2 linked regions of the Pelodiscus sinensis genome follow. The protein of the gene in region 1 interacts with the protein of each later gene in a pairwise test. Links are inferred from orthologs where the notes say so. Each region holds a gene or a part of one and is shown on either strand. Other genes may lie near its edges. The genes, in order: IFT25 and IFT27.

Region 1 (8,184 bases):
CCCCTCAGCACCTTCCCCTTCCCATGCCCCAGAGCCTGCTCCCTGCCCCACCTCCCCTCGGCACCTTCCCCTTCCCATGTCCCCAGAGCCTGCTCCCTGCCCCACATCCCCTCAGCACCTTCCCCTTCCCATGTCCCCAGAGCCTGCTCCCTGCCCCACCTCCCCTCGGCACCTTCCCCTTCCCATGTCCCCAGAGCCTGCTCCCTGCCCCACATCCCCTCAGCACCTTCCCCTTCCCATGTCCCCAGAGCCTGCTCCCTGCCCCACATCCCCTCGGCACCTTCCCCTTCCCATGTCCTCAGAGCCTCCTCCCTGCCCCACCTCCCCTCGGCACCTTCCCCTTCCCATGTCCCCAGAGCCTGCTCCCTGCCCCACCTCCCCTCGGCACCTTCCCCTTCCCATGTCCCCAGAGCCTGCTCCCTGCCCCACCTCCCCTCGGCACCTTCCCCTTCCCATGTCCCCGAGCCTGCTCCCTGCCCCACCTCCCCTCAGCACCTTCCCCTTCCCATGGCCCCAGAGCCTGCTCCCTGCCCCACATCCCCTCAGCACCTTCCCCTTCCCATGTCCCCGAGCCTGCTCCCTGCCCCACCTCCCCTCAGCACCTTCCCCTTCCCATGGCCCCAGAGCCTGCTCCCTGCCCCACATCCCCTCGGCACCTTCCCCTTCCCATGTCCCCGAGCCTGCTCCCTGCCCCACCTCCCCTCGGCACCTTCCCCTTCCCATGTCCCCAGAGCCTGCTCCCTGCCCCACCTCCCCTCAGCACCTTCCCCTTCCCATGTCCCCGAGCCTGCTCCCTGCCCCACATCCCCTCGGCACCTTCCCCTTCCCATGTCCCCAGAGCCTGCTCCCTGCCCCACATCCCCTCAGCACCTTCCCCTTCCCATGTCCCAGAGCCTCCTCCCTGCCCCACCTCCCCTCAGCACCTTCCCCTTCCCATGTCCCCGAGCCTGCTCCCTGCCCCACCTCCCCTCGGCACCTTCCCCTTCCCATGTCCCCAGAGCCTGCTCCCTGCCCCACATCACCTCAGCACCTTCCCCTTCCCATGTCCCCAGAGCCTGCTCCCTGCCCCACCTCCCCTCAGCACCTTCCCCTTCCCATGTCCCCAGAGCCTGCTCCCTGCCCCACCTCCCCTCGGCACCTTCCCCTTCCCATGTCCCCAGAGCCTGCTCCCTGCCCCACATCACCTCAGCACCTTCCCCTTCCCATGTCCCCAGAGCCTGCTCCCTGCCCCACCTCCCCTCAGCACCTTCCCCTTCCCATGTCCCAGAGCCTGCTCCCTGCCCCACCTCCCCTCAGCACCTTCCCCTTCCCATGTCCCCGAGCCTGCTCCCTGCCCCACATCCCCTCAGCACCTTCCCCTTCCCATGTCCCCGAGCCTGCTCCCTGCCCCACCTCCCCTCAGCACCTTCCCCTTCCCATGTCCCAGAGCCTGCTCCCTGCCCCACCTCCCCTCGGCACCTTCCCCTTCCCATGTCCCAGAGCCTGCTCCCTGCCCCACATCCCCTCGGCACCTTCCCCTTCCCATGGCCCCAGAGCCTGCTCCCTGCCCCACCTCCCCTCGGCACCTTCCCATGTCCCCAGAGCCTGCTCCCTGCCCCACCTCCCCTCGGCACCTTCCCATGCCCCAGAGCCTGCTCCCTGCCCCACCTCCCCTCGGCACCTTCCCCTTCCCATGTCCCCAGAGCCTGCTCCCTGCCCCACCTCCCCTCAGCACCTTCCCCTTCCCATGTCCCCAGAGCCTGCTCCCTGCCCCACCTCCCCTCAGCACCTTCCCATGTCCCCAGAGCCTGCTCCCTGCCCCACCTCCCCTCGGCACCTTCCCCTTCCCATGTCCCAGAGCCTGCTCCCTGCCCCACATCACCTCAGCACCTTCCCCTTCCCATGTCCCCAGAGCCTGCTCCCTGCCCCACCTCCCCTCGGCACCTTCCCCTTCCCATGTCCCCAGAGCCTGCTCCCTGCCCCACATCACCTCAGCACCTTCCCCTTCCCATGTCCCCAGAGCCTGCTCCCTGCCCCACCTCCCCTCAGCACCTTCCCCTTCCCATGTCCCAGAGCCTGCTCCCTGCCCCACCTCCCCTCAGCACCTTCCCCTTCCCATGTCCCCGAGCCTGCTCCCTGCCCCACATCCCCTCAGCACCTTCCCCTTCCCATGTCCCCGAGCCTGCTCCCTGCCCCACCTCCCCTCAGCACCTTCCCCTTCCCATGTCCCAGAGCCTGCTCCCTGCCCCACCTCCCCTCGGCACCTTCCCCTTCCCATGTCCCAGAGCCTGCTCCCTGCCCCACATCCCCTCGGCACCTTCCCCTTCCCATGGCCCCAGAGCCTGCTCCCTGCCCCACCTCCCCTCGGCACCTTCCCATGTCCCCAGAGCCTGCTCCCTGCCCCACCTCCCCTCGGCACCTTCCCATGCCCCAGAGCCTGCTCCCTGCCCCACCTCCCCTCGGCACCTTCCCCTTCCCATGTCCCCAGAGCCTGCTCCCTGCCCCACCTCCCCTCAGCACCTTCCCCTTCCCATGTCCCCAGAGCCTGCTCCCTGCCCCACCTCCCCTCAGCACCTTCCCCTTCCCATGTCCCAGAGCCTGCTCCCTGCCCCACCTCCCCTCGGCACCTTCCCCTTCCCATGGCCCCATGCGCCCAGCACCCTCTATTGTCCGATCAGCCCCCGCCTCCCCTGGGTCCCCGCCCCTGGCTCAGGGACTCGCCTCCAGTCTCGGGCGGAGACGCCGCGCGCTCCCCCCGGGGTCTCCCCGCCGCTTTCTCCGCCCGGCCGCCCGCGCACGCGCGCTCCCGTCGCTCAGCTCCCCGGCGCGCCCCCGCTCTCCCCTTTGTGGCCCCCGGGGCGGGACCGGCCTGCGGCGCGAGCCCCGGCCCCTGCGAGCGGCCGCGCCAGGCGGGGGCTCCGGGGACGGCCCGTGCCCGGAGCAGGTAGGTCGGGGGCTCGGGGCAACTTTCCCCGCGCCCCGTGCTCGGAGCGACGGGGCTGGCCGGGCGCCAGGGAAAGGGGCGGCCCCGCCACCCCCAGCTAGCCCTCTGCGGCCGGGCCCCGGCACCAAGCGCCCTGCGGGGGAAAGGTCCAAGGCAGGAGCCCCCCCCCCCCCCTGGGCCGAGACCGGGGCATCCCTGCGAACGGCCGCCCACCCTGCGGGGCTGCGCCTGCCACAGCGCCAGACAAAGCCAGGTCTTGCCGCAGTGCTGCCGAAGGGGGCAGGGGCGAAGCATGCCGCCAGGGGGTGGTGCAGACAGGGACCCCTTGTGCAGGCCGAGCCGGCGTGCTGGAAAGCCCCTCAGCCGGGCGTGCAGCCTTGAGCTAGGAGAGGGCGCACAACACAGGACAAACTTCTGTGGCACGCTTCCTTTTTTTGTTTTTTAACCGAAAGCCCTAAGTTAATGAGCAGGCCCCTGCACATCTGCGGATATCGGCTTTACATCATGGATGGGAATATCCACGGCTCATTTTTGCAGATACAAATGCAGATGCAAAATGTGTACCTTGAACCCTGCAGATGTGCAGATATCTGCTTTACATCCATCAGCATCCGCATCTGGAGATGTCCATGTGGATATCTGCAACTCATTTTTGCAGATGGGGATACACATTTTGTATCTGCCCAAGGCTCTGGCCATGTGCAATGTACACGATTATTTGAATGAAATAGTTGTAATGTACTGAGTAGTGTGTAAGGTGTAGCAAGCACTGTGCTCTGCTAAATGCAGTCAGATCTACACCATGTTACAGGAGGCCCCTTCTTGATCCTCAGTAGTATGTGGAAAAGACCTGTCATTCTGAAGGAATGAGTTCTAGTTCCCATATTTTGTTGTTGCTGGCAGCCCAAGAGTGTATTATAGGCAGCCATGCTTTCACTGTATCATATGGATACATTATAATGGGCTGCCTAGGGTGCCAAAGGAAATTAACTTGGATTGAAACATTTCCAAAATGATATCATTTGCTTTAATTCTTTATTCATTTCTCATTTTGTTTTTGCAGAAACTAAAGGGGAATGTCTTACTGCCTCAAGTCAGAAAGCCTTTTGGATACAGGCCCAATATATGTGCGTGAAAATGGGCACCTGTATATGGTAGATCAGGATTCTGGCACTGTAAATAATGCTATTCCAAAACCCAAGCGGTTTAGACTATTTTCTAAAGGATTCTCTGTGGAGCTTTGTATGAACAGAGAAGATGACAGTGCAAGGAAAGAGAGAACAGATCATTTCATCTTTACTTATACTAAGGAGGGGAATCTCCGATACTCAGCCAAGTCTCTCTTCGGCCTAGTGTTGGATTACATTTCTGACAATGTTGATCATATTGATTCATTGATTGGCTTTCCAGAGCAGATTGCTGAAAAGCTTTTTTCTGCTGCAGAAGCAAGGCAAAAGTTCACAGAACCAGTTATAGGACTCAGAGCATTACAAAAATTTACTGAGGCTTATGGAAGTCTGGTGCTTTGTTCATTATGTTTACAGAATAGGTAAGTGCATTCAGTAACATGAAACTTATGTTTGTTAATATTTATTTTTTAATTAAATATAAACATGTTATTGATTTGGATGATTGCTTATTGGAGTATTGCTTACTCCATGAAGTATTGTTTTTGATAGCACATGTTTAATTTTTGCATCTGTAATGCAGAACTTAATATCTGCCAGTTAATCCTCTAAATCCACATGAACACATTCTGTAATCTGAATTGAAGGATAAAACCTGCAGCTTTATTTGTAGCATGCTAACACTTGGCTCTTGTATGGTGCTTTGAAACATAATCTTCACAACATGCCTACCTTGTTGTCTGCACTGTAGTTGTAGCCATGTCAGTCCCAGGATACTCAAGACAAGATGATGGGTGAGGCAGTATCTTTTATTGCATTTTCTGTTGGTGAGAGAGACAAGCTTGTCTTACTTACCTTCCTCATAGGAGTGTTAATAACTAAATTTTGTCTGAACTAATTAAACGATTTCGGCATTTACTTTGACTTGTATAGCCAGCAAAATTTTCTAGCACACAGTCCCACTGGGACATTCCATGTCTACTATCACATTTCTCATATGAAGGATACAAGTACCCAAAGGCAGGGGGGAGAAGAGCATAGCTGTGTAATGTTATTACAGGTTTTGAAGTCAGAAGACCTCGTATTACATTTTATTAATTACTGTTTATGTCTATATGTGTTGCATGCCCTTCATATTGAACACACCTTGACCAAGGACATTCTGTGTCTTCCCCTCTTTGATCAAGTTCTAACACAACCAGAAAAGTTTCTCCTTACAAGGCTTAAATTAGGATAATATTTTATTGGGATTTGTAGTTTACATTCACACAGTTTATATTCTTTTGAGTCTTTTAAATATGAACCAGTATAAATCAAAGCATATAGGGACATCATTCTTGGATTCCAAAACTGGCATGAGTAATATAGAAAAGTTTTTACTAAAAAAAACATCAGGCGTACCAGTTGTCACTTCATTCTCAGAATGATCAAATTGCATGCCAGTTTACTCGTGGACTGCATTTTCCATGAATGAAAGATGGCTTCCTATGGAAAACCTTTTTGTCCTCTTTATTTCTCAAGTCGAGGCTTTTGTTTTGGCCATGAAACATCAGTTGCACTGTTTGATTTGGACTGATATGTCTTGTGATCTGGTAGTAATAGCTGTCTTTGCATGTTAAAGTCACTGGTTATGTAGCAAGTAATTTTTGAGTTAAGATCAGAGTCACAATGTTGATATAATGATAGAAATGTAGCCGTGTTAGTCTGGTGTAGCTGAAACAAAAAACAGGACTATGTAGCACTTTAAAGACTAACAAGATGGTTTATTAGGTGATGAGCTTTCGTGGGCCAGACCCACTTCCTCAGATAAAATAGTGAAAGAAAATTGGCACAACCATATATACCAAAGGATACAATTTAAAAAAATGAACACATATGAAAAGGACAAATCAAATTTCAGAACAGAATGGGATGAGGGTGGGAGGTAAATGTCTGTGAGCTAATGATATTAGAGGTGATAATTGGGGAAGCTATCTTTGTAATGGGTAAGATAATTCATGTCTTTGTTTAGACCTGGACTTAAAGTGTCGAATTTAAGCATGAATGACAGTTCAGAGGATTCTCTTTCAAGTCTGGTGTTAAAAGGTCTTTGAAGCAGGATGCAGGTAATCGAGTCGTTGAGACAATGCCCTTTCTGGTTGAAATGGCAAGAAACTGTTCTTTCTTTGTGATCCTGTCTAATATCTGTTTTGTGGGCATTGATTCTTTGGCGAAGTGTCTGAGACATTTGTCCAATGTACATAGCAGACGGACACTTTCGGCACACGATAGCATAAATTATATTTCTGGATGAGCAGGAATACGTGTTCTTGATCTTATAACTCAATTGGCTAGTCCAATAATGGTATCAGCAGAATGAATATGTGGACAAAGCTGGCAACAGGGTTTGTTGCAAGGGAAGGTTCCAGGGTTGGTATTAGTGTGGTATGTCCTGTGGTTGTTGGTAAGAATCATCTTGAGGTTAGGTGGTTGTCTATAGGAGCCTCTCGGAGTTTAGTATCCTGATCCAGGATAGGTTGAAGTTTATTGATAATGTGTTGGACAGGTTTAAGTTGGGGGCTGTAGGTGATGACAAGTGGTGTTCTATTGTTGGTTTTCTTGGGTCTGTCTTGAAGTAGATGGTTTCTAGGTATTTGTCTGGCTCTTTCAATTTGTTTTTTTATTTCTCCAGGTGGGTAATTGAGGTTTATAAATGCTTGGTAGAGATCCTGAAGTTTCTGGTCTCTGTCAGTGGGATTAGAGCATTTACCTCCCCCCATCATCCCTCTTCTGTTCTGAAATTTGATTTGTCCTTTTCAAATGTCTTTAAAATGTTGATATAAGACATTGAGTAAGAATCTGAGCATGTGTTCCAAATGGACTGCAGCCTGGATAGATAATGATGAGAGCTTACTCATTCTAGGCATTTTTCACATGGCAGCTGGCATAATGCCAAGGAGAAGTAGACACCTTCTATGACTGTACTTTTAGTGCATTTAAATGTTCATAGCTTTCTGCTCTTTACAGATATCTGGTTATTTCTGAAAAACTTGAAGAAATTAAGTCTTTCAGGGAGCTGACCTGCTTGGATCTTTCCTGTTGTAAACTTGGAGATAACCATGAATTGCTAGAACATATCACCAAAGAAGCTCTGTCTAGGTACCAATATATTGATATGTGTAATTGACCAGCATTTTTTTCCATCACTAAGAAATTCACAGAATCACACTGTCTCTTTAAAGTTTCATAGGAAACAAGCACTTTTATTGGGGGTTTTCAGTTGTCTATAAACTCACTTCTTAAGGCAGAAAAAGCAAGCATCAGAGTTTATAACCCAAATTGCAAAATACCAACCATGTGCTGAGTCTTTAGACAAGTTCTACAATTATGAAAGTTGAAATAAAAGTTCTAGCTAACTGTTTTCTACATTTTTCATTTTCTGTTTATAATATACAGTCATTATTGCAAAACTTAATTTCCAACTGCTGTAAACTTTCCCTATTAAATTTGCTTATTAACTTTTGGGGGAGAACTTTATCAAAATAATAATTTTAATTGCATTAATGTCAGGATGAGATATTAATAACTTACATCTTTTGTCTAGTATTTGTTTTCTAAAATCTTTATATAGCCATCTTTTTGAGCTCCTAGAGATCTAAAAGATGGAAAATTGTGAAACTTTATTAGGTTAATTGTGTTTATTAATTAATAACTGTTACTACTACATAAGACTTCCATTTGTTTGATTCAAGATTGTGTTTTAAAAGGATGCCGTGGAAGTATATCTATAAACTTTTGGGGATTTCATTTATTCTTGTTTGCAATACTTCCTTATATCTCCTACCAATTATGCCTTTTCCTGTATGTCAAGCAAGATTTTCCTTTTCCGATTTTGAAAGGGGTTGAAATTGGTGAGCCCAAGTAGTTCAAGTAACAAAGAATCTTAGTGCCTGAATTAGCAGGGTGGTATGTTCCAGTGTTGCCTGTGTCAGTGAAACTTTGGGAAGTTTGTTAGGTAATTGCTTCAGCGGAGACTTCAGAGAAAACAGGGAAAATACCAAAAAGGCCTCTTGTTTTATTGGTCCTTTTAAAGGAGTAAAGGAGTGATAGACTAAGCAGGTATTAGGAAAAAATTCTAGACTTTGCACATGAAAT
Region 2 (7,969 bases), on another chromosome or scaffold:
CAAAATATTGTTTGCACCTTCTTTAAATACATTAATTTCAGCCTAACTAATGCCGTATCTTTAATCTTCCCTTTTTTCTTAACAACTAGCTCACACAACAATACTCTTGACTGTAAATCGTGCCTGGAGATAACAAAGGAATCATTGTCCACTGCATAGTTAACATAGTTTTTCTGCTAACGGAAGATTTTTTTTTCTCTTTTTCATTCTTGACCTCAGTGCATCTCTCACCAGTGTGATCCACTCTCTCTCCTCCAGATGAGTAGGTACACGACTTTCTTCTACCCACCTAATTGCATTCCCCCCTTTATTTTGTGGCTCTCTTCAGTATGAAGATTCTTCCCCTTTGGTGCTTACTGAATCAAACAGGGAAGTAAGAATCTTTTCTAGTTTTATCTAGTGTCTTTCACAGTGTAATTTGGGGAAGCATAGGGGATGTCACGTTACAGACAGGTCACTGCTGCACCCAAGGGGGGTGTTTGCCCCAAAAGTTGGTACAAAGGGGCCATGTGAGATGTCAAATGAGAGCGTATGTTCTACTGATTCTGTATATGCTATTCGTGTACTTGTATTATATCTGTATATGGAGTTATAAACATGTACTCTGTAGGGATGCTGGAAAATTCTCTGTCTGTGGCTGAGCAATGGGGAAGGAATGCTTAGCTATGCTAACTAGCAAGGAGACAATGAAACTCTAGGTGCCAATACACACCTCAGGAATGTGACTGATATCTGTAAACCAGCCAGGGCAGAAGGGCTGCCAGCATGGGACACAGGGATAGGTCGTTGGACCATGTGACCTTCTCTGGCCAGGAAGATGCCGGGGCAGTATACAAATGCCTTGTGGCACCCTCCAGCTGGTCTTGAGTTCAGCTCCTGATCCCAGATGCAGCCTTGCAGGGAACAACAAGCTGAGAAGAACTGTGGACCTGTCCTGACATAGGATGTACACCAGAGACTTTTAAGATAGCAGTTTATAACACCTCTGCTAAGAGCCTGTATTGAGAACTGGGTGATTCGATGCATGTAATGTATTTTCTTTAACAACCTTACTCTCATGCTTTTCTTTCTTTTTTTAATAAACCTTTAGATTTTAGATTCTAAAGGATTGGCTCCGCGTAATCTTGTCGGTAAGACCCAGAGTGTAACTTGATCTGGGAACTGTGGCTGGTTTCTTGGGACCAGAAGAACCTGTTCAGGGTAGATGAGATTGGGTTCTAAAACCCCTCACCTGTGTGTTAGGCCCGGGGATGATTAGGACACTGGAAGAGCTGGGGTGTCAGAGGGGTTTTGCTAGTGAGGCTTCTGGCTGGCCAGATTGGCAGCTGAAGTGGTCGGTGAAACTGGTTTGTGACCTGTTTGTAAGATCTCCAATCTGGGGCTCTAAGGTGTTCTGAGTTTTGAGCACTTTGCCACACAGGGGAGGACAGGGTTGCGGGTTCAAGACCTGCCTTCACTGGGTCAAGATGGCCAAAACCTGTAAGCGCTTTTGCGGAAAAGTGTCCGTGCCAATCTAGACGCTCTTTTCTGAAAATGCTTTTAATGGAAAACTTTTCCGTTAAAAGCATTTCCGGAAAATCATGCCAGTCTAGACGTAGCCTTCCTGTTTACTGAATCAAACAGGGAAGTAAGAATATTTCATTTTACCTGCTGCCTTTCACAATGTAAACCTCAGATGGTACAGAATTTGCCCTCCATGCATGGTCCTGTTGCCCTGATTGGAGCTGTCTCCTTCCCAAAGACAGAAGTAGAACTATACCTATGCTTTTCAGTTATCTTTACATTTGATGTCTTGCTACTATTGTTTGATGGCATTCAAGTGTACATACTTCACAACTCCTTAACAGTGTCTTGGCCAAACCTGCAGCTTTATCTCTGGTTCTTTCAGGTAATCTTGTGCTTCTCTTGAGCAAGAAGAGCCTCTCCTCAGACACATCTGCCTTTCTCTTATTTTCACACTTGACTAACACCATACTTCCCCCCGCCTCGTTGTTTGTAATCATCTTTATTTCACACATACTTTTTCTTTCAGCACAAAAGGGAATGTGCCAGTCTATTTCATGAAACTGGGCTTGGCTCTTCATTCTGTTTCTCTCACCCTTCCTGTCATATCATCTTTCCATTGTTGTGAAGAGAGTGGTCTTTGATCCTGTATCTTTTTCACTGGCTTGCATCATATTTCCTAGCTCATCTGGATACATATTTCCTCATCTGTACCTCTTAGTTTGTTACCCTTTGCTTTTTATACATCTGTATTCACTAGAATACTATTGCTGTGAGGCATGGGTGACGACTCTATGGGTGTTCCAGGGCTGATAGACAGACCCCTGATCAGCTCCTTCCCCATCTCCCAGCTCCTTCTGCCCATCCTGATCAGCTATCGCATGGCATGCAAGAAGTACTGGAAGGGGGAGGCATGAGAGCCGTGTGTGCTCAGGGAAAGGGGGCAGAACAGGACCAGGAGAAGTGGGAAGGGCAAAGCAAGGGCAGAACCTTTGAGGACAGGGTGTGGGCAGGGTCTGGGGTGCAGCAAGGATCAAGCCCCCCCCTTAGCACATTAGAAAGTGGATTCCTCTGGAATGAAGGTCGCTCTACAAAATGAAGCAGCGTGGCGGGGGCAGGGCGCCGGGGGGGATCAGGAAAGGGCAGCGGGCGGATGTTTAAAGCACTGGCCCCTTGGGGGCATTACTGAATCCCTCCGCTGGCCCATCCGTGGGGGTCAGGCCCCGCCCAGCGCCCCGGGGGCTCCAGCCCCGCGTAGTTTGCAGCGCCAGAGTCGCTGGGGCTCGCGCCGCTCTTCTTCCGCCCCAGCGAGCGAGCCCAGAGGCGCGCGGGGCGCAGCGCGGGCAGTCGAGGCGCGAGGACGAGCTCACCTGCCAGGATGCACTTGGCGGCGAGTTTCACCATGGTCCGGCTGCCGCGAGCCCTGCCCGAGGGGAGGGGTTAGGGCCTCAGTGGGGGAGGTGGGTTAGAAGGGGATGAGCGGGGGGGGGGGGTGGCTATTCGAACTCGGACCACATCGGAGGCTCCACAGCCCTGGCCCCGCTCCTGGTGCTGCCCTAGCAACCCCCCGCCCCCTCAGCCAGTCACCGCCCTCCTTGGCGCCGCCCGCTTCTGCGACAGGCGATTGGCTGGCGGTGCTGCCCATCCCACCGGCCGCTCGGGTGGCTATTGAGTCCCCTTTCCATTTGGCTCCGCCTTGTGGGACGGATGCCTCCTCGAATACTCTGAGGCCATTGGTTCAGGGATGTACTGCTTATTGGTACGCGTGTCTGCCAATCAAAGGCCCCGCCCAATGCGAGCGGTTAAGCGGCCTGAGCTGAAGCCGGGGATGAAGTCATCAACGCTGCAATTCTGGGTCAGTGCGCGTGCGCCTGATGCTGTTTCTACCCAGCAACTAATGACATTCCAAGGACCCTGTTTTTAATTGGACAGACCACGGTGGCCCGTACCATCTCTAGGCGGAATTATTCCATGGGGAGAGTTAGGGAAAAAAAAGATGGACCAGAAAGTTTTACCAATAGGTGGGGTCATGTCCTGGTAGAGTTCTGGGGGAAAGAGCGGGGGTGAGATAAAGAACTGTGACGGCTTGAGCCCTTCGGTACATAATGGGCTCTTCCACAAAGCGCGTTCGCTAAACGTTAGCGTAACTGGAGTTTTCTGCGCATGCGCACGATACTTTCCCACCGTCTCGCTCCCTCCCGGTTCTGTTTGCTCGTGGGCCTGCGCGTGCGTCCCTTGGTCCCTTGGCTTGTTCAGCTGGCTCTTGGGCTGCGCTGCGTGTGTGACTGTGTTGCAGCCCCGGTGCATTATTGCCGCGACAGCCCCCTCCTCCTGCAAGCTGTTAGGTGGCGGGGGCACAGTAGAGCCCACATCATTAGGTAACCAGGGCCCGATTAAGGTTATGAGGGGCCTGAGTGTGAATTACATATTACAAGGAACTGTGAAGCAGTCAGACGTGTATGCACTTATTTGCATATTCATTATGTAAAATTAGCAAGTTTATAAACTCATATGACTAAATTCTTGAAACCAAATTTTTACCCTAGTTTTAACTGTGGCAAAGCCATGAACGATATAATCATAACTCAAAAGACTTGACGATTTCATTCTTGATGCTCAAGAGGGACAAAGCACTGAAATACTCATAGATCAGAAGACAATTTCAACCCCTGTTGAAAGAGAAAAGGAATGTTCTCAACTGCTGTTAGTAATCTTTAGTGACGAATAAAGCTATAATGCAGTTTCAACTTTTGGGAAACATTCTATCTCATTGAATTCTGTGATGGTACATCCAAATAGATTTGCTTTTGTCATCTTTATATTTGAGAGTGATGTGCATTCAACAAATTGAAGAAATTCTTTTAGTAAAATCTACTGGGAGATCTTCTGGGAACCTCTGACAGATACTTCAACTGATTTTAGAACTTGAAATATTAGGTGAAAAATGTCAGTACACTAAAGGTTTTGTCAATCTTTTTGCAAGCCTTGATTTGATGTTTTAATGAACTTTTGTGTGTGTCAGTAATTAACTCTGAAGGGATTAACTCTGAAGACCACCTTGTCACAGAATGAGTGGACATTTGGATCATCATGTTTTCTGACTTTTACTGTGGTTGGCTGACTTATATTCATGTTTTAGCAGTTCTTTCAGCCGCCGCCTGAATTTCATACTCATCAAAACTATCTTACATACGTTGAACAGCAGTTCCAAGACTCCTCATTAGATTTACAGCAGTGGAAAGGTCAATTCTAGCACTTTGCAAGCTCAGATTGCACCTGCTGAATGGATGAAGTGTATCATTCCAGACCTCACACAAAATACCAGTTTCCAAAGTGCATATTGCATCATTCAGAATCTTTGCTTCTTTTCTTCTTGCTGATTTTTTATTAGCTTGATCATCCTTGATGCTATCTAGTGTTTCAAGGATGTTGGGGTATCCCAGAACAACTGCATTCACAGCTTTAGCACTGGTGCTTCACTGTGCCCCTGAGAATGATTTGGGCACTGGATATCCCTTTGGTAGTGAATCTTTAAGAATCACCCCCACAACTGGTTGAAACAGAGAGAAATCTGTACAATTCTTGGAGAAAGAAAGAAAAACTGCTTTGACACAACGATTCATGGCAGCCAACAAGGTTGAGTGAGAAAACAGTACGTGGTATATAATCAATCAAAGCACTGCGCTTTTTTTAATCTTTGCCTGCATCCCTGAATATTTGCTACTTCTATTACTTGCATTGTCATAGGTTTGGCCATGACAAAGGCTGATATTAATGTCATTTTTGGTGAGGAAATCAAGTAGGTACAAGGCTAATTTCCCTCCTGCATAGTAGGTGATGTTTATGAAAGTCACTAAATGCTCAAGTGGTCTGCTGAGTATTAGAGAAAAGAAACTGCCCCCCCCCCCCCAGTAAAAAAGTTTGGCCAGGCCGCTCTTGTTCTGCAGTACTCCTTGAGAGAAACCGGCCACACCCTTCCTGCATACCATTGCCTTTAGAAAAAGGAAAGGTGTGAAAAGGGGAAAATAGCCTCAGACTCTCCCACCTGTCACCTTGGCATGAGAACTGCGGGGCTTACCTGGTCACATGAAACCTGCACAGTTTCGGCCCAACCCCTGGGACACAGACCCCCCACTTGGTGACCATTGGGCCATATATGGTAATATGCAAGCACGGGAAAGCGATGTGCAGATTTGGGGATAAATACCCATGACACAGTTCGCTCTAGGAGGTCTTCGCAACACACGTACCACCGTGCGTGTGCCTTCTCGTATACTTCCAAGCGCTACCAGCCTGATCAACCGACCAGCCACCTCCCCCGACTCTCGGGCGTAACCAAGGCCTTCGCAACCGAACCAATATCTGGGAAATGTTCCGTGTGCTGTGTAAGTTGGTATGTATGATTTGATTTTTTCTTGTTGTATAAGCTTAGTGTTGTAGTTGTTTTTGGGTAGTACATAAGAGTTTGTAGTTATCACTGTTATTTAATTACTGTAGCTGGATAGTTTAAGATTAGAGACTATTCCCCTTGCCATTCCCATCCCTATATCTCTGACACGTTTTACTAGAAACCATAGAATAAATATAATAAATACTGTAAATTCATTATTAACACGGTCTATTAAAAAATCTCAGAATAATACTATAAATTCATCACTGTCATAAAACTGTCCACCTGGTTCTGTCCTTCCCCCCTTGGGTATTCATTATCGGACCTGTGATTCTCGCGACACTGAGTGGCACATAATGCAAGATGATAGCTGATATAGATGTGACAGATCTGATGTTGACTTGACGGACATGGAAAAATATCCCATATCTTTGAGCTCATCTACAGTGACTGACAGTGTCTTCTTTGCCAACAGTCCAATGAATTCATCACAAATAGTCTTTGATAGGTATGATATATGGCCTTTTCTGTGGTTTGTGTGTTCATTAATATGCTGAGCTAAGAAAGGGTCAAATTTAGCCATTAGCTCTAGAATGCTGAGGTAATTACCATTGTGTTTTGATCCAACAATCTCATCTGAACCATGCAAAGGCAAAGAAAAAAATCTATGGTCTCAATTACACATCTGAGAACATTCTTCCAATAAGCACAAGCTTTCAAAAACTGGTTTTGCATTTGGGTTTCAATTCTGCCACTAACTTTCTTTTGGGTATGATAGCTGCTAACTGACAATGTATGCAGCTCACTCATTGCATGACTGGTAATGTGTTTGTGACATTTTTTCAATCATTGAAGCCTTCACTGAACATTCCTTACATTTTGGTATTTGAAAACAGGTGGCAATAAAAACAATACACTTAGAAGGTGCATAGATGAGCTATTCTCACTTGCCAATGTTGTGTTAGGCTTCACATCTTTAAACATTGATTTGGTCAGATAATCATTCTGATTGATGTACCCTCACTTTGTCAGTGAAAAAGCACGTAGACTCTGGCATTTCTGTGGACTCTTCTCAGTCTAATATGCAATGAGATCTTGACATGTCATGCCCCACTTGCCTAGATCATTGGAGAATGATAATTATATATTACTGTCACTGAAAAGTCTCAGAGGAGTGGAGGACTGCAGCTAGAGAACTCACAGAAAGCGGATTCTTTTTATCAGGTGCAGCAGGTTAACTTGGGCTGGTATTTGGACTTCCTCACCAGCCTTGGTCTGAAGAAAAAAAATGTTAGGAGAGGAGTACCTTTCCATCTTTCTTTAGCCTCCTTCAGTTTCTGCCATTCTCCTTTTTTTCAACGTGGTTTCTATTGTCCAGTCTAGGCCTACTGTATTCAAAGTTCAATATTGCTCAGGCCCATAAACACTTACATAACCCATGAAGACAAAATCACAACCACCATAAATTGAATTCACAATGTCAATGGATTAATTTGTACAAAGCAATATCTAACAAGACAAAAGATTTCTGATGTTCCTGCCACTGTTGCTCTGCTGTTGCCTTGATATGAAATAGAGAGTCTGTGGTAGGGCCTAAACATTAGGAAAGACTAAATATTAGGGCCTAAAAATAAGAGGGCCTAAGGCTATAGCCTACCCTGTTACCCACACAAATGTCTCTATCTCTTCCACACTGTAGGGACACACACCTTTACCCCATTCCTAGGGCTCAAGGTGCAACCCTGTTAATTTACAGACCCACCTGTACCCAATTTCTAGGGCACAGGGCATAACTTCCTGCAGGTTTTGCAGGTTCTTTAGCCACTGAAAGATCCTCACACAGTAATATTCTTATCCTCTATTTATTGACAATTCCCAAACAAGCAGAATACACATGCTACGCACACAGTGCCATGCTCACCAATCCTGATAAAGACAGACTTCCCCTGTTGGCCAGGCAAAATCAGTCTCTCTGGATCTTAGCTGCTGCACGTCACAGTTGTGCAGGAGAATCCTGGCAGCTCTGGTCTTAGGCTGTGTCTTGGAGGTGAATAGTTCTTCCAGGTGTTCCTTGTT

The links.
Region 2: the proteins of IFT25 (region 1) and IFT27 interact in binary tests that used the Homo sapiens proteins (3 or more experiments, as listed by UniProt). The two-hybrid records come from large-scale screens. The link is inferred for Pelodiscus sinensis from reciprocal best matches to the Homo sapiens genes IFT25 and IFT27.

Annotation. Positions count from the first base shown.
Region 1 is NC_134719.1:11,241,094-11,249,277, forward strand, and holds the start of IFT25 (intraflagellar transport protein 25 homolog), read right to left. Parts: upstream 3,233-8,184; 5' UTR 3,137-3,232; intron 2,924-3,136; exon of another isoform or gene 2,701-2,923; intron 1-2,700. Other genes in the region: LRRC42 (leucine-rich repeat-containing protein 42), read left to right, coding at 4,000-4,472, 7,057-7,188. UniProt on the Homo sapiens protein: Component of the IFT complex B required for sonic hedgehog/SHH signaling.
Region 2 is NC_134711.1:93,194,597-93,202,565, reverse strand, and holds the start of IFT27 (intraflagellar transport protein 27 homolog), read right to left. Parts: upstream 3,033-7,969; 5' UTR 2,908-3,032; coding exon 2,874-2,907; intron 1-2,873. UniProt on the Homo sapiens protein: Small GTPase-like component of the intraflagellar transport (IFT) complex B that promotes the exit of the BBSome complex from cilia via its interaction with ARL6. Not involved in entry of the BBSome complex into cilium. Prevents aggregation of GTP-free ARL6.